Linked DNA regions of Caenorhabditis elegans. The protein of the gene in region 2 purifies or fractionates together with the protein of the main gene of each other region. This does not show direct contact. Each region holds a gene or a part of one and is shown on either strand. Other genes may lie near its edges.

Region 1 (7,004 bases), on a different chromosome or scaffold from region 2:
GGCAAAAACTGAGATTTTTCCAATTTTCAAAAAAAATCATATAAAATTTAGAAAATTTTTTTGAATTTTTAAATCATGATATTCGGTCATTGTGGTACAATAGGCATGTTTTAAAGCAATTTCCCCACTAGCGCTACTCCACCTTTAATCCCCCCCCCCCCCCCCCCCAAAAAATTCGAATACTGATGAAATCTGTCCTATTTATTTATTTTATCTTTTATTTTTTTTTTTGTATTTTTCACCGCATTTCTTGCAAAGTTCACAACAATAAACTCATTCACCGAAGGCTCCCTGTAGGCAAAAAAGGGCCTTTAAAGGTAAAAACCGCCTTATATATCTCAAAAAAAAGACCTTCCGCCTAACCGTCTGCGCTCTCTCTCTTCCATGAGATATCTCTCGCGTCGTCTTCAATTTTTCCTCCGCGCGTATTTCCATTAGAAAACGCGATTTTTACAGTTTTTCGTTGAAAAAATGCAAAAAATTGATCGGATTTTCAAATTCACCCATGAAATTTGAATTTTCTAATTGAAAATGTTGAATTTTCACGACGATTTTCCAGCTAAAAATGCACATTTTTAACGTTTTTCTCAGCAAATTTTTAATTTTCCCAATTTTTATCGGCATTTCGCCATATTTCAACACAAAATTGCGCAATTTAATCACATTTTTAGGGCGGAATCAGCGATTTTTGTCTAATTGCAGAGTTTTTCGACTCAAAAAGCTAGTTTTTAATGTTTTTGGTTGAAAATTGGCATATTTTTTCTTGTGGTTTATAATTTGAAAATATCGCCAGAAAATCGACTTTTTGATGGAAATTGGTGAAAATTGCACTCAAAAAATGAAAATTCGTCGATTTTTGATTGATAAATCTAATTTTTATATTAATTTTTTCGATTTTAAAGTGACAATCACGTTTTTAAAGCAAAAAATTCGAGATTTCTGGCAAAAAAAAGGGTTTTTCATGCTAAAATCGACGTAAAAATCGTTTAAAAGCGCATTTTTCCTTGAAAGTACGAAAAAAATCGGTGTTTTTTTTTTTGGGATTTTCCATTAAAAATTGAGTTTTTCTTGATTTTGCCCGTCAATTTATCAATTTTCCGCCAAAAATCACCAGATATTCGACTAGAATACCTCTCGTCTCACAAAACACGAGTTTTTAGTGGAAAATTGAAAAATATCGCCAGAAAATCGACTTTTCGATAATTTTATAGACATTTTCATGAAAAAACACTAAAATCTCGTGTTTTGTGATACGAGAGGTTTTCTAGTCGAATATCTGGAAAAAATTGGGGATTTTTGGCGGAAAATTGATAAATTGACCGGTAAAATCAAGAAAAACTCAATTTTTAATGGGAAATCCCAAAAAAAACCGATTTTTTTCGTACTTTCGAGGAAAAATGCGCTTTTAAACGATTTTTACGTCGATTTTAGCGATTTTCTGTTAATTTTCGAAATATTTTTGCCGAAAGTCATGAAAAACCCTTTTTTTGCCAGAAATCTCGAATTTTTTGCTTTAAAAACGTGATTGCCACTTCAAAATCGAAAAAATTAAGATAAAAATTAGATTTATCAATCAAAAATCGACGAATTTTCATTTTTTGAGTGCAATTTTCACCAATTTCCATCAAAAAGTCGATTTTCTGGCGGTATTTTCAAATTAAACCACAAAAAAAAATATGCCAATTTTCAACCAAAAACACTAAAAACTAGCTTTTTGAGTCGAAAAACTCTGAAATTAGACAAAAAAAAGAATATCGCCAAAATCGACGTAAAGATCGTTTAAAATCTCATTTTTCCTTGAAAGTACGAAAAAAATCGGTTTTTTTTTGGGATTTTCCATAAAAAATTGAATTTTTCACGATTTCAACCGAGACAATTTATCAATTTTCAAAATCCCCAATTTTTTCCAGATATTCGACTAGAAAACCACCCTCGTATCACAAAACACGAGTTTTTAGTGGAAAATTGGAAAATATCGCCAGAAAATCGATTTTTCGATAATTTTATAGACATTTTCATGAAAAATCGACGTAAAAATCGTTTAAAATCTCATTTTTCGCTCGAAAGTTTGCAGAAAATGCGATTTTTTTTTTGAGATTTTCCATAAAAAATTGAATTTTTCACGATTTCAACCGAGGCAATTTATCGATTTTCCGCCAAAAACCCCCCATTTTTTCAGATATTCCGATTTTGAAGAAAAAAAACACGTTTTCAAAGCAAAATCATCGAGATTTCTGGCATAAAAATGGGATTTTCATGACTTTCCGCAAAAATCCAACTCGAAAATTAACAGAAAATCGTCGTTTAAAAGCGCTTTTTTTTTTTGGGATTTTCCACATAAAAAATTGTGTTTTTCTTGATTTTGCCCGTCAATTTATCGATTTTCCGCCTCAAAAATCCCCCATTTTTTTCAGATATTCGACTAGAAAACCCCCTTCCTCGTATCTAGAATATCGCTAGAATTAACGGATTGATCAAAAAATCGCCAAAAACCCGCCGAAAATGGGTGTCCCCAAGTTCTACCGATGGACATCGGAGCGATATCCGTGTCTGAGTGAAGTGATCAACGAATCGCAAATTCCGGAATTCGACAATTTGTATTTGGATATGAATGGAATTATTCATAATTGCTCGCATCCGAATGACGATGACGTCACGTTTCGAATTACGGAAGACGAGATTTTCGTGAATATTTTCGCGTATATTGAGGTAAAGAGCCGCCGAAAAAATTTGCCCAAAAACGGAGAAATTTGCAAAAAAACCGGCGAAAATTAGTTCAAAAACGGGGAATTTCACAAAAAAAGAGCGAAAATTAGGCTAAAAACGGCGAAAATTGCCAAAAAATGGAGGAATTTGCAAACAAAACGAGGAATTTCACAAAAAAAAAAGAGCGAAATTTGCAAAAAAAAACGGCGAAAATTAGTTCAAAAACGGGGAATTTCACAAAAAAGAGCGAAATTTGCAAAAAAAAAACCGGCGAAAATTAGGCTAAAAACGGCGAAAATTAGCCCAAAACCGGCGAAAATTAGCTCAAAAACAAGGAATTTCACAAAAAAACAGCGAAAATTAGTTCAAAAACAGGGAATTTCACAAAAAACGGAGAAAATTAACCCTAAAAACGGAACATTTTGAAAAAAAAACATCAAATTTCTGTCAAAAACCCGCCAAAAATTGGATTTTTTGAGCTTATTTACGTCTGAAAATGGAAGAATCGGCCTTCTGGATCTCGGCCACGGCCATGTGTCGATTTACACGGCTCGTGTACTCCCCGAGGACAAGATTTTACAGTTTTTTACTAAAATCCCTGATTTCGGGCAGTTTTTGCCTATTTTTTTTTTTTGGATTTTATATTAAAATTTGCCGCCGAAAATCGATAGTTTTACTGTTGAAAAAGTAGAAATTTGGCGGTTTTCAGATCGATTTTCACCGAAAAAAGGCGATTTTAATGTTGAAAACGATGAAAAAAAATGTCCAAAAACTGCAAAATCACCAAAAAATCGAATTTTGGCGGTTTTTCAGCAGAAAATTGTCTGAAAAATCACGATTTAGTGCGCATTTTTCCCGTTTAAATTGAATTTTTTTTTCAAAAAATTCAAATTTTGCTGTAAAAAATGACAAAATTTGATATTTTTCTCTTTTCAGAATCTCTACAATCTAATTCGCCCGCAAAAGGTGTTCTTCATGGCCGTCGACGGTGTGGCTCCGCGAGCAAAAATGAATCAGCAACGGGCGAGACGATTCATGTATGTGGAAGAGCTGCTTTTAGCAGGAAAAAAGGAAATTTGGTGAAAAATTGGCGATTTTTGACCAAAAAATTGTGCTTTTACATTGGAAAACTACTCATTTTTTTCGTATTTTTCCATTAAAAAAACCAATTTTTTGTATTTTTCACTTTGAAAATTCAATTTTTCGGCTCAAAAACTGCAAAAATGTCCAAAATTTGTGATTTTTCACCTAAAAAAAAAATCCAATTTTTGTTATTTTTCACTGCAAAAAATTCAATTTTTCGGCGCAAAAATGTCAGAAATAACCAAAAATTGTGCTTTTTCATTTGAAAAAAATCCAATTTTTGTTCTTTTTTACTCAAAAAATTCAATTTTTTTCGGCTCAAAAACGTCAGAAAAGCTCAAAAAATCTAGCAAAAATTGCAATTTTTCCAGGTCAGCCCGAACAGCCCATACTCAACTCGCAAAAGCGCTGGAAAATGGCGAAATTATGCCATCTGAAGCTCGATTCGACTCGAATTGTATCACCCCGGGCACATATTTCATGACACGGCTTCATCAGAAGCTTGACGATTGGATTAAAACGAAATCGGCGACCGATTCGCGTTGGCAAGGCCGAAAAATTATTCTCAGCGGTCACAATGTGAGGAAAATGATGGCTCTCTTCAGATTGAGCTCCAGATTTGCTCAAAAATCAATTTTCTTTAAATTTTTCAGGAAAAAATTGATGAAAATTCCAATTTCTGATGAAATTTCTAGGAAAATTTGGATTTTACAGCAAAAAAAAAGTGGTACTTTTTACAATTTTGCTGTGAAAATTGCGATAAAATCCAACAAAATGGCTGAAAAATTTTTTTTGACCAAAAAAATCGAATTTGGAGCTCAGATTTGCTCAAAAGTCAATTTTTTTTCATATTTTTTAGGAAAAAATCGATGAAAAATTGCAATTTTTCAGGAAATTTTGGATTTTAGACCCAAAAATGAAGTGTTTTTTCAACAAAAAAAACCCGATTTTTTTTTATGTTTTAGAGCTAAAAATCAGCATTTTAGTCCAATTTTTTTTATAAAAACGTTAAAATTTGTATATTTTTGCTTTAAAAATTGCGGTGTTTTGGGCCTTTAGGTGAAATTTTGCGAACTTTTTTAGAGAAAAAACTGAATTTTTGCTTTAAAGCGTTTATTTATTCGAATTTTCGAAAAAAAATTTCACAGATTTCAAGCCAATTTTGGCTTAAAATCAAGAAAAAATCACGTTTCTTCGTCTATTTTAATGCTAAAAACCGGGTTTTTGAGTAAAAAAGTGTTAAATTTCAAATTTTTATTATTTAAAAAAGATTCGGAAAGCGAAAAATTGCAATTTTTCTTGAAATTTTTTAGAAAATTCGGATTTTAGGGCGAAAAAAATAGAAATTTGTACGTTTTTGATGTAAAATAGCTGAAATTTGCTCAAAAATCAATTTTTCTCATTTTTTGAAGGAAAAATTAATTCGCTTTTCACTAAATCTGACAGGGAGCCGGAAAATTCGGAAAATTTGGCTCAGAAACTGATTTTTTTGCCGAAAAAACCGCGAAATAAGCGGCTAAAAACGAGAAAAAAAAATGCCAAAACACTCAAATTTTCATCTATTTTGATGAATTTTGTAGCAAATTTCATGGAAAATGATCTAGAAATTCGGCAGAAAAAATGCATTAAAATTTGCATTTAAAAAAAATTTGTGAAAAGTAATTCGCAATTTTTCGCTGTCAGATTTAGTGAAAAGCGAATTAATTTTTCCTTCAAAAAATGAGAAAAATTGATTTTTGAGCAAATCTGGGCTCCAAAAATGATAATTTTCAGCTATTTTTCATCATGAAAAACGTACAAATTTCTACTTTTTTCCTCATAAAAAACCGGATTTTTCCAGAAATTTATTTTTGGAAAACTCTAGGTGGTCCAAAAAAATTTTTTTCAGCCATTTTGTTGGATTTTATTGCAATTTTTACAGCAAAATTGTAAAAAGTACCACTTTTTTTGCTGTAAAATCCAAATTTTCTTAGAAATTTCATTAAAAATTGGAATTTTCATCAATTTTTTCCTGAAAAATTTAAAGAAAATTGATTTTTGAGCAAATCTGAGCTCCAAAAATGATAATTTTAAGCTATTTTTCATGAAAAACGTACAAATTTCTATACTTTTTGCGTCATAAAAAACCGGATTTTTCCAGAAATTTCGAGAAAAAATGCAATTTTTCATCGATTTTTTCCTAAAAAAATATGAAAAAAAATTGACTTTTGAGCAAATCTGGGCTCCAAATTAGATTTTTTTTTTTGGTCAAAAAAAATTATTTTCAGCCATTTTATTGGATTTTATTGCAATTTTCACAGCAAAAATACTCAAATTATTACTTTTTTTGCTGGAAAATCCAAATTTTCATAGAAATTTCATTAAAAATTGGAATTTTCATTAATTTTTTCCTAAAAATTATGAAAAAAATTGACTTTTGAGCAAATCTGAGCTCCAAATTCGATTTTTGTTTGGTCAAAAAAAAAATTTTCAGCCATTTTGTTGGATTTTATCGCAATTTTCACAGCAAAATTGTAAAAAGTACCACTTTTCCAAATTTTCAAAAGATCCAAAAATGAGCAAATCTGGGCTCGAAATTCTAAAAAATTGAAATTTAAAGCTTTTACTCGTTGCAGGTGCCCGGTGAAGGAGAGCACAAAATAATGGATTTTATCCGTACGGAACGGGCCGGCTCGAGCTACGATCCAAATACACGTCACTGTATGTACGGCCTGGACGCCGATCTGATAATGCTCGGAATAGTCTCCCATGAGCCACATTTCTCGTTGCTCCGAGAGGAAGTGACGTTTAATACGAGACCACGCAAGAATGATAATAAGGCGACGAAAAAGCCGAAGCGAACGGATTCCGACGTGAAGAAATTCCATTTGCTTCATCTATCACTGCTCCGAGAGTATTTGGCGTGGGAATTTGCTGATGTTAAGGTACAACAAAAAGTGGTGCTGAAATTCTGGAAAAATATCGATTTTGAGCCGAGAAATGCGTGAAAATCGTCACATTTTGAGTGAAAAGCTCGCAAAATGGCTTCAAAATCATCAATATTCTGAAAAAATCGATAAAAAATTGAGAAAAATGGTCATTGCTATGGGAAAAGCTGGAAAAATAGCTTCCAAATTAGCAAAATTCTGATTTTAAAAAAAGTCGATGAAAACTGAAGAAAAATCGCAAATTTTTGTCGGAAAAGCTGGTGAAATAGCTTCCAAAACGTCCATTTT
Region 2 (7,586 bases):
TCGAACAAAACAAGGCTATACACTTTTTAATTCAATTTTCCATCCAAAATCTTATAATTCTATTCATTGGTTAGTAGTATGGTAATTCAATTAAATAATGCGCTACTTATGCTCAATTGACCCAGTTTTCTCGAAAAAGTAGGATTCTTCATAAAAAATAAATGTTAAATTGAATGTTATACTATATATATAGTTGTTCTGAAACGTTACAGCTCTGCGGAATAGGTAAAGGTGGTGTAGTCGAATTTTTTTTATTGCCTTATTAGACTCAAAATTGTCTGAAAACACCGAATTTCATAATGAAACTTCTTGAAAACTTGACAAAAAAAAGTTATGGCGGCTCAAAAAATGGCCTAAAATTAGTTAAAATTTGAAATTTGACCGACTTGTCAAGCGGCTGGAAACACTTTTTTTTTGAAATCACCGTCAAATTTTGAGTTTACAAGTTGATTATCTTGCGTTTTAAACTTGATTAAGGTATTTAAAAATCGATGTACGGCGAGATTTTTAATTTTTTTTATCGATAAACTCGCCGTCCATCGATTTTTAAATAGCTTAATCAAGTTTAAAACGCAAGATAATCAACTTGTAAACTCAAAATTTAACGATGATTTCAAAAAAAAAAATTTCCAGCCGCTGCGACATTGATAAGTTAGTCAAATTTCCGATTTTAACTAATTTTAGGCCATTTTTTGAGCCGTCATAACCTTTTTTTGAAAAGTTTTCAAGAAGTTTTATTATGAAATTCGGTGTTTTCAGACAATTTTGAGTCTAAATAAAGCAATTTGAAAAAAATCGACGACACCACCTTTAACTATTCCGCATTTTAGAGCTTTAACGTTTCAGAACAACTATATATATAGTATAACATTTAATTTAACATCTATTTTTAATGAAGAATCCTACTTTTTCGAGAAAACTGGTCAATTGAGCATATTGAGCGCATTATTTAATTGAATTACTATACTAGTAACCAATGAATAGAATTATAAGATTTTGGATGGAAAATTGAATTAAAAAGTGTATAGTCTTGTTTTGTTCGAATTGTTCACTGAAATCCGAGAATTTTCAATAATTCTCTAATTTTTCGCTATTCATTTTGCATTTACTTAGTGTTTTTTTTTTGGCATTTTTCGGCATTTTTCAGGCTTCTAACCCAAAAAATCCAATTTTCCCTGCAATTTATTACCTTGAAAACGTAGCTTCTCGAGATTCCCTGAGTGTTGAGCTCATGCAGCTGGACCATTCTACCGTAGGTGATCAATCCGACGAGAGCATCGGCTGGGAGCAGCGAGAGAGCAGTCTGAAATTGGAAAAATTGGGAAATTTTGCCCAAAAATCTGAATTTTACGGCAAAAATTGCCAATTTTCATGAAAAATAACACTATTATGTTTAAAAAAGTCGAATTTTCAAGCGAAAATGAGCAGAAATTCCCATTTTTCAGCAGAAATTCCCATTTTTGAGTGAAAAAATCACAAATTTTGAGTTGGAAAACCGACGAATTTTCGAGCAATTTTCCGCGAAAATTTTAAAAAACCGCCGTTTTTTTCTCAATTTTCTGCAATTTGTCCCGTACTTGAAGGCATTCTTTCAGCGATTTCAGCTCCTCTGCAGTCATACACGTGTCGACGACGAAAACGAAGATCGGCGGCATTGTGGTGGCTTTCTGGAATAAAGATTTGGCTTAAAACTCGGATTTTTCAGCATTTTCTCACTCGAAGCGTGTACTCAATGGTTGTAAATTGTGGATAGAGCTCCGGCGGGCGGTTATCCTCGGCAATTGCCGCATAATGAGCCGGGAACGGATTCCGATTGTTGCAGAATGGGCACATCCAGATTTTGGCGCGATAATCGACGGCGCTGAAAGCATCATTTTTCGGGGTGAAAATCGGGCAAAAAAAGGCCTGAAACTCACCAAAGTGGGTTTAAAATCGCTTTACAGCTGGCTTTTTGGCACAAAACCGGATCATATTCCAGTGGTGGTTGGGCGACTTCTGTTGATGGGCGCTCCTGGAAAAAAAATTTGGTTTTTGAGAGAAATTTGATGAGAAATCGTGAAATTTCAGCTTAAAATCGGCTTGAACTCCGCAAAATTGGATTAGCAGCGCCTAAAGCTTGTAGTTTGTAGTTTAGCAGCGCCTAAAGCTTGTAGTTTGTAGTTTCAGCAGCGCCCAAAATTGGATTAGCAGCGCCCAAAACGTGTAGTTTGTAGTTTAGCAGCGCCCAAAATTGAATTAGCAGCGCCCAAAACTTGTAGTTTGTAGTTTTAGCAGCGTTCAAAATTGGATTAGCAGCGCCCAAAACTTGTAGTTTGTAGTCTAAGCAGCGCCCAAAATTGAATTTTTTTTTTGCGTTTCTCAGCGGAATTTTACGATTTTTGCAGAGATTACCGACTTTTTAAGGTAAAAATGCAGAAATTCCGATGGAAATTGAGAAAAAAATCGCGTTTTTAATCGAAAAATTGCTGAAATTCATGCCTTCGGTGTTTCGAAGCTGCCGATCGGCTCGAGCAGCTACCAAATTTGAATTTTTAGAAGATTATAACGAATTTCTGGCAAAAAATGAAGCAATCCACTAAAATTTGCAAAGATTCGGAGAAAATTGATGGAATTTCGATGGATTTGAAGAAAAATTGCTGAAAATAGGCTTTTCCTCAGCTTTTGGCGCTGCTCGGCAGCTACAAAATCCAATTTTCAATGCTTAAAATTCAATAATTCCACGAAAAATTCGAAGAAAATCCAGTTTCCGCGCCTCAGTTTTACCTTCAGCGGCGTGAAAAAGCAGGTGAGCGGGACGACAAGCTTCTGAGAATCCACTCGACTGTGTGGCCACATGTTCCACGTGAATTGGACGCCATCGTTCGCCTGTTGAGCACCCAAATATTCTTCCCAAGTGGCCATTTTTACTGGAATAAACTGGTAATGAACTTTTTATCGCGGAAAATGATGAAAAACGAGGAGAATACGTGGATTACGTGTGAAATTCTGGTTTTTCACCATTAAATTTTAATTTTATTAATATAAAACACTGAAAATCACGTTTAATAGCGAAAAATCGAGTTTTTTGGGTTTTTATGGTTGCCCAATCAATTTTCGTCATTTTTTCGACATATGCAAGGTGAAAACTATGATTTTTACACTAAAATCAATAAAAATCGACTTATTTTCAATATTTTAGCAAGAAAAATCAGAAAAAATGGTGAAAAACGAGTGAAAATCTGCAAAATTCCAACAGAAAATGTACACGTGGAGGAAGATGGCCGAGAAAAGAATTGGAGTTTTCTAGGCCGCGGCCAGTGTGTTGTTTTACGATGCGTGACACTTTTGAAAATGTTTTTTGAGTTGGTTTTCTCGATTTCTACCGTTTTTCGTTGCAATTTCTGTATCTTTTTGGTGAATAATAAGTGAAAATCTCGATTTTTCAGTATGAAACGGATCGCCGACGAGGAACTTGTGCGAGAGGAGCGTGCAGAGGAGAGTACACAGAAATGGCTGCAGGATGCCAAGTTTCAAGAGATTTTAGGCGCTGATTCGTCGCATAAGGTGAGAAAATCAATAAAAAGTGAATTTTTTGCATTAAGAAACAATAAATTTCACCTAAAAATCATAAAAATCAATATTTTCTTCCAGTCTCTCTTCGTTTTGCTCTCCCATCCCGATGGATCTCAAGGCATTCTGCTTGCCAACAAGTCTCCGTTTTCCGAAGAAAAATCCGATATCGAGAAGCTTCTGGCGACTGCACAGCTTCAAGAAATCTCCAGAAATGACATTTTCGGGTCCTATAATATAGAAATCGATCCCAAATTGAATTGTAATCCACACAATCTTGCTTAAATTAATTTTTAATTCAATTTTCAGTGCTAAAATCTCAACTAATCTACCCGATAAACGATCGTCTCATTGCAAAATACCGTCAGGAGGAGAAATTCGTGATTCGAGAGACTCCAGAGCTTTATGAGACTGTTACAAGGCCGTATATTGAGAAATATCAGCTGAATCTCAATGTAAGCAGCGAAAAAATGAAGAAAATCGGAGAAAATACCAAGAAAATGAGTTTAGCAGCGCCCAAAACGTGTAGTTTGTAGTTTAGCAGCGCCCAAAACTTGTAGTTTGTAGTCTTAGCAGCGCCCAAAATTGAATTAGCAGCGCCCAAATCTTGTAGTTTGTAGTCTTAGCAGCGCCCAAAATTGAATTAGCAGCGCCCAAATCTTGTAGTTTGTAGTCTTAGCAGCGCCCAAAATTGAATTAGCAGCGCCTAAAACGTGTAGTTTGTAGTGTTAGCAGCGCCCAAAACGTGTAGTTTGTAGTCTAAGCAGCGCCCAAAATTGAATTAGCAGCGCCCAAAACGTGTAGTTTGTAGTCTAAGCAGCGCCCAAAATCACGATTATCGATTTTCACTCGTTTTTCTTCGATTTTTTCGAATTTTTTGATTTTTCTTTTGGTTTTAAGTGAAAAACAAGACAGAAAATGAGAATATTCTGCAAAAAATTGACAAAAACCATTAAAAATTCGTAGATTTTCTCTGTTTTTCAGAGTTTTTAGCGTTCAAAGTGAATAAAAATTCGGAAATTAGTAGAAATACTGAAAATCGCACAATTTTAAATGAGAAAATGCGATTTTCCGCTCGAAATTTCTTTTTCAAAAATCAATTTTTCGTTTCAGTGGGTGTACAATTGCCTGGAAAAGCGCTCGGAAGTCGATAAAATCGTGTTCGAAGACCCCGACAATGAAAATGGCTTCGTACTTCTTCAGGATATCAAATGGGACGGAAAAACCTTGGAAAATCTCTATGTTCTCGCTATTTGTCACCGCCACGGCCTGAAATCTGTCCGGGATTTGACTGGAGATGATTTGGAGGTAGAAAATCGGATTTTCTACCGGAAAATTGCAATTTTCGCTGAAAAAAAAAGCAAAATCACTCTAAAATGACGATTTTTCGCCCAATAAATCGCAAATTGTAGTTAAAAAACGTGAAATCTCTCTAAAATTGTCCGGAAATGGCAAAATCAAGATTTTACCGAAATTTCCGTCAAAAATCACCAAAAATGCAAAATATCTCTGAAAATCTGCAATTTTAGGCACAAAAGCAAAGAAAAATGTCAAGTTTCGCACAATAGTACCGATATTTATCTGAAAATTACATTTTTCCACTCAAAAATCGACAACTTGTAGTTTGTAGTCTTAGCAGCGCCCAAAATTGAATTAGCAGCGCCCAAAACTTGTAGTTTGTAGTTTAGCAGCGCCCAAAATTGAATTAACAGCGCCTAAATCTTGTAGTTTGTAGTTTTAGCAGCGTTCAAAATTGAATTAGCAGCACCTAAATATTGTAGTTTGTAGTCTAAGCAGCGCCCAAAATTGAATTAGCAGCACCTAAATATTGTAGTTTGTAGTCTAAGCAGCGCCCAAAATTGAATTAGCAGCGCCCAAAACTTGTAGTTTGTAGTTTAGCAGCGCCCAAAATTGAATTAACAGCGCCTAAATCTTGTAAATCTCGGGCGGAGACAGCTCGCCACGCCCACATCGAGTTAAACGCAGCGGCGCGCGGAACCCGTAGGATGTCCGCGGCCTGATATTGGTTGGTCCCAGAATTTTTGCTTTTTCTCCGTGAGTAGACGAGAAAAAGGCGGGGCCTAAATTTGAGGTTTTCTGCAGTACACGCCACGCAGTTTTCTTATTTTGAGTGTAAGCAGCGCCCAAAATTAAATTAGCAGCGTCCAAAACTTGTAGTTTGTAGGCTAAGCAGCGCCCAAAAATTGTGTAGTTTGTGAAATTTCCGGTAAAATGCTAGTTTTTCTTGCAATTTTCACTGAAATTTCAAGTTTTCGAGTCAAAAAATGCCAATTTTCACCGTAAAATATCGATTTTTGAGTGAAAAAAGCCAAATTCCCTTAAAAATTCAAAAAATTTCAATTCCAGATGCTGTACAACATGCGTGACAAGTCCCTCGAGGCAATAAATCAGAAATATGGCCTAAAAACCGATCAAATCAAGTGCTATTTCCATTATCAACCGTCTTTTTATCATCTTCACGTTCATTTTATCAAGTAATCTCTCTCTGAAAACCTGGGAAAAAACTAAAATTTTCTCGAATTTTCAGCCTAAAATACGATGCCCCGGCGAGCACTACAATGTCGGCTATCCTGCTCGATGACGTCATCAACAATTTAGAGCTTAACCCGGAGCATTATAAGAAATCCACGTTGACATTTACCCGAAAAAATGGCGATAAACTGATGGAAATGTTCCGGGAAGCTTTGAAAAATTGACAAATTAATAATTTTTTGCGTTGATTTTTTAATTTATAAATTGTTTTTTTTTCTGGATTTTTCACTCACAGATTTTCCCCCCGCCGAAAATTCTGTAATTTTCAGTGATTTTCTCTATTTTTCACCCCCCCCTCCCCCCTCAAAATCCCCGTTTTTCACCATTTTTCAGCCAATTTTAGATGTCTATCGCCATTCTATATGGCAGTGAGACGGGCACCGCACAGGATATCGCCGAATCTCTGCGACGGGAAGCTCAACAGCGACATTTACAGGCGAGAGTTCACGAGTTGGACGAATATGATGTTTCGGTGAGGAGGAATTGGAGGCTGAAGAAATCCATGGAAATTCGGTTATTTACATGAAAAATGTGAAAAAAAAACTTCAAAAATTCCAATTTTGCCGAAAAATTCACATAAAAACCATGGAAAACGTGGAAAAATTAAAGTTTAGCTAAATTTAGCAAAAAAATTGCTGAAAACTTCGAAAAATTCCGAAAAATCTGCGTGGAAAATCCAATTTATTCAAAATCCTGACTGGAAAAATGAAAAATTTCGGGAAAATCCGCGTGGAAAACATGAAAATTGGTTTAGCAGCGCCCAAAAATTGTAGTTTGTAGTCTAAGCAGCGCTCAAAACTTGTAGTTTGTAGTCTTAGCAGCGCTCAAAACTTGTAGTTTGTAGTCTTAGCAGCGCCCAAAATTGAATTAGCAGCGCCCAAAATCTTGTAGTTTGTAGTGTTAGCAGCGCCCAAAATCTTGTAGTTTGTAGTCTTAGCAGCGCCCAAAACTTGTAGTTTGTAGTCTTAGCAGCGCCCAAAATCTTGTAGTTTGTAGTCTTAGCAGCGCTCAAAACTTGTAGTTTGTAGTGTTAGCAGCGCCCAAAACTGAATTAGCAGCGCCCAAAAACTTGTAGTTTGTAGTCTTAGCAGCGCCCAAAATCTTGTAGTTTGTAGTCTTAGCAGCGCTCAAAATTGAATTAGCAGCGCCCAAAATTGAATTAGCAGCGCCCAAAACTTGTAGTTTGTAGTTTGGCAGCGCCCAAAACTTGTAGTTTGTAGTCTTAGCAGCGCCCAAAATCTTGTAGTTTGTAGTCTTAGCAGCGCCCAAAACTTGTAGTTTGTAGTCTTAGCAGCGCCCAAAATCTTGTAGTTTGTAGTTTAGCAGCGCCCAAAATCTTGTAGTTTGTAGTGTTAGCAGCCCAAAATCTTGTAGTTTGTAGTCTTAGCAGCGCTCAAAACTTGTAGTTTGTAGTCTTAGCAGCGCCCAAAATCTTGTAGTTTGTAGTCTTAGCAGCGCTCAAAATTGAATTAGCAGCGCCCAAA

Evidence for each region. The genes of interacting proteins can lie anywhere in the genome.
Region 1: the proteins of dcs-1 (region 2) and xrn-1 purify together in Caenorhabditis elegans (affinity purification with western blotting, with the first as the bait; one study listed by BioGRID). This does not show direct contact.

Annotation. Positions count from the first base shown.
Region 1 is NC_003280.10:14,066,495-14,073,498, forward strand, and holds the start of xrn-1 (5'-3' exoribonuclease 1), read left to right. Parts: upstream 1-2,412; 5' UTR 2,413-2,502; coding exon 2,503-2,709; intron 2,710-3,642; coding exon 3,643-3,743; intron 3,744-4,160; coding exon 4,161-4,368; intron 4,369-6,404; coding exon 6,405-6,713; intron 6,714-7,004.
Region 2 is NC_003283.11:20,086,583-20,094,168, reverse strand, and holds dcs-1 (m7GpppX diphosphatase), read left to right. Parts: upstream 1-3,425; 5' UTR 3,426-3,426; coding exon 3,427-3,543; intron 3,544-3,630; coding exon 3,631-3,811; intron 3,812-3,858; coding exon 3,859-4,004; intron 4,005-4,662; coding exon 4,663-4,857; intron 4,858-5,916; coding exon 5,917-6,044; intron 6,045-6,097; coding exon 6,098-6,266; 3' UTR 6,267-6,321; downstream 6,322-7,586. Other genes in the region: sec-23 (Protein transport protein SEC23), read right to left, coding at 1,190-1,303, 1,578-1,667, 1,717-1,861, 1,917-2,011, 2,764-2,901; fre-1 (NADPH-dependent diflavin oxidoreductase 1), read left to right, coding at 6,446-6,574. UniProt on the Caenorhabditis elegans protein: Decapping scavenger enzyme that catalyzes the cleavage of a residual cap structure following the degradation of mRNAs of the 3'->5' exosome-mediated mRNA decay pathway.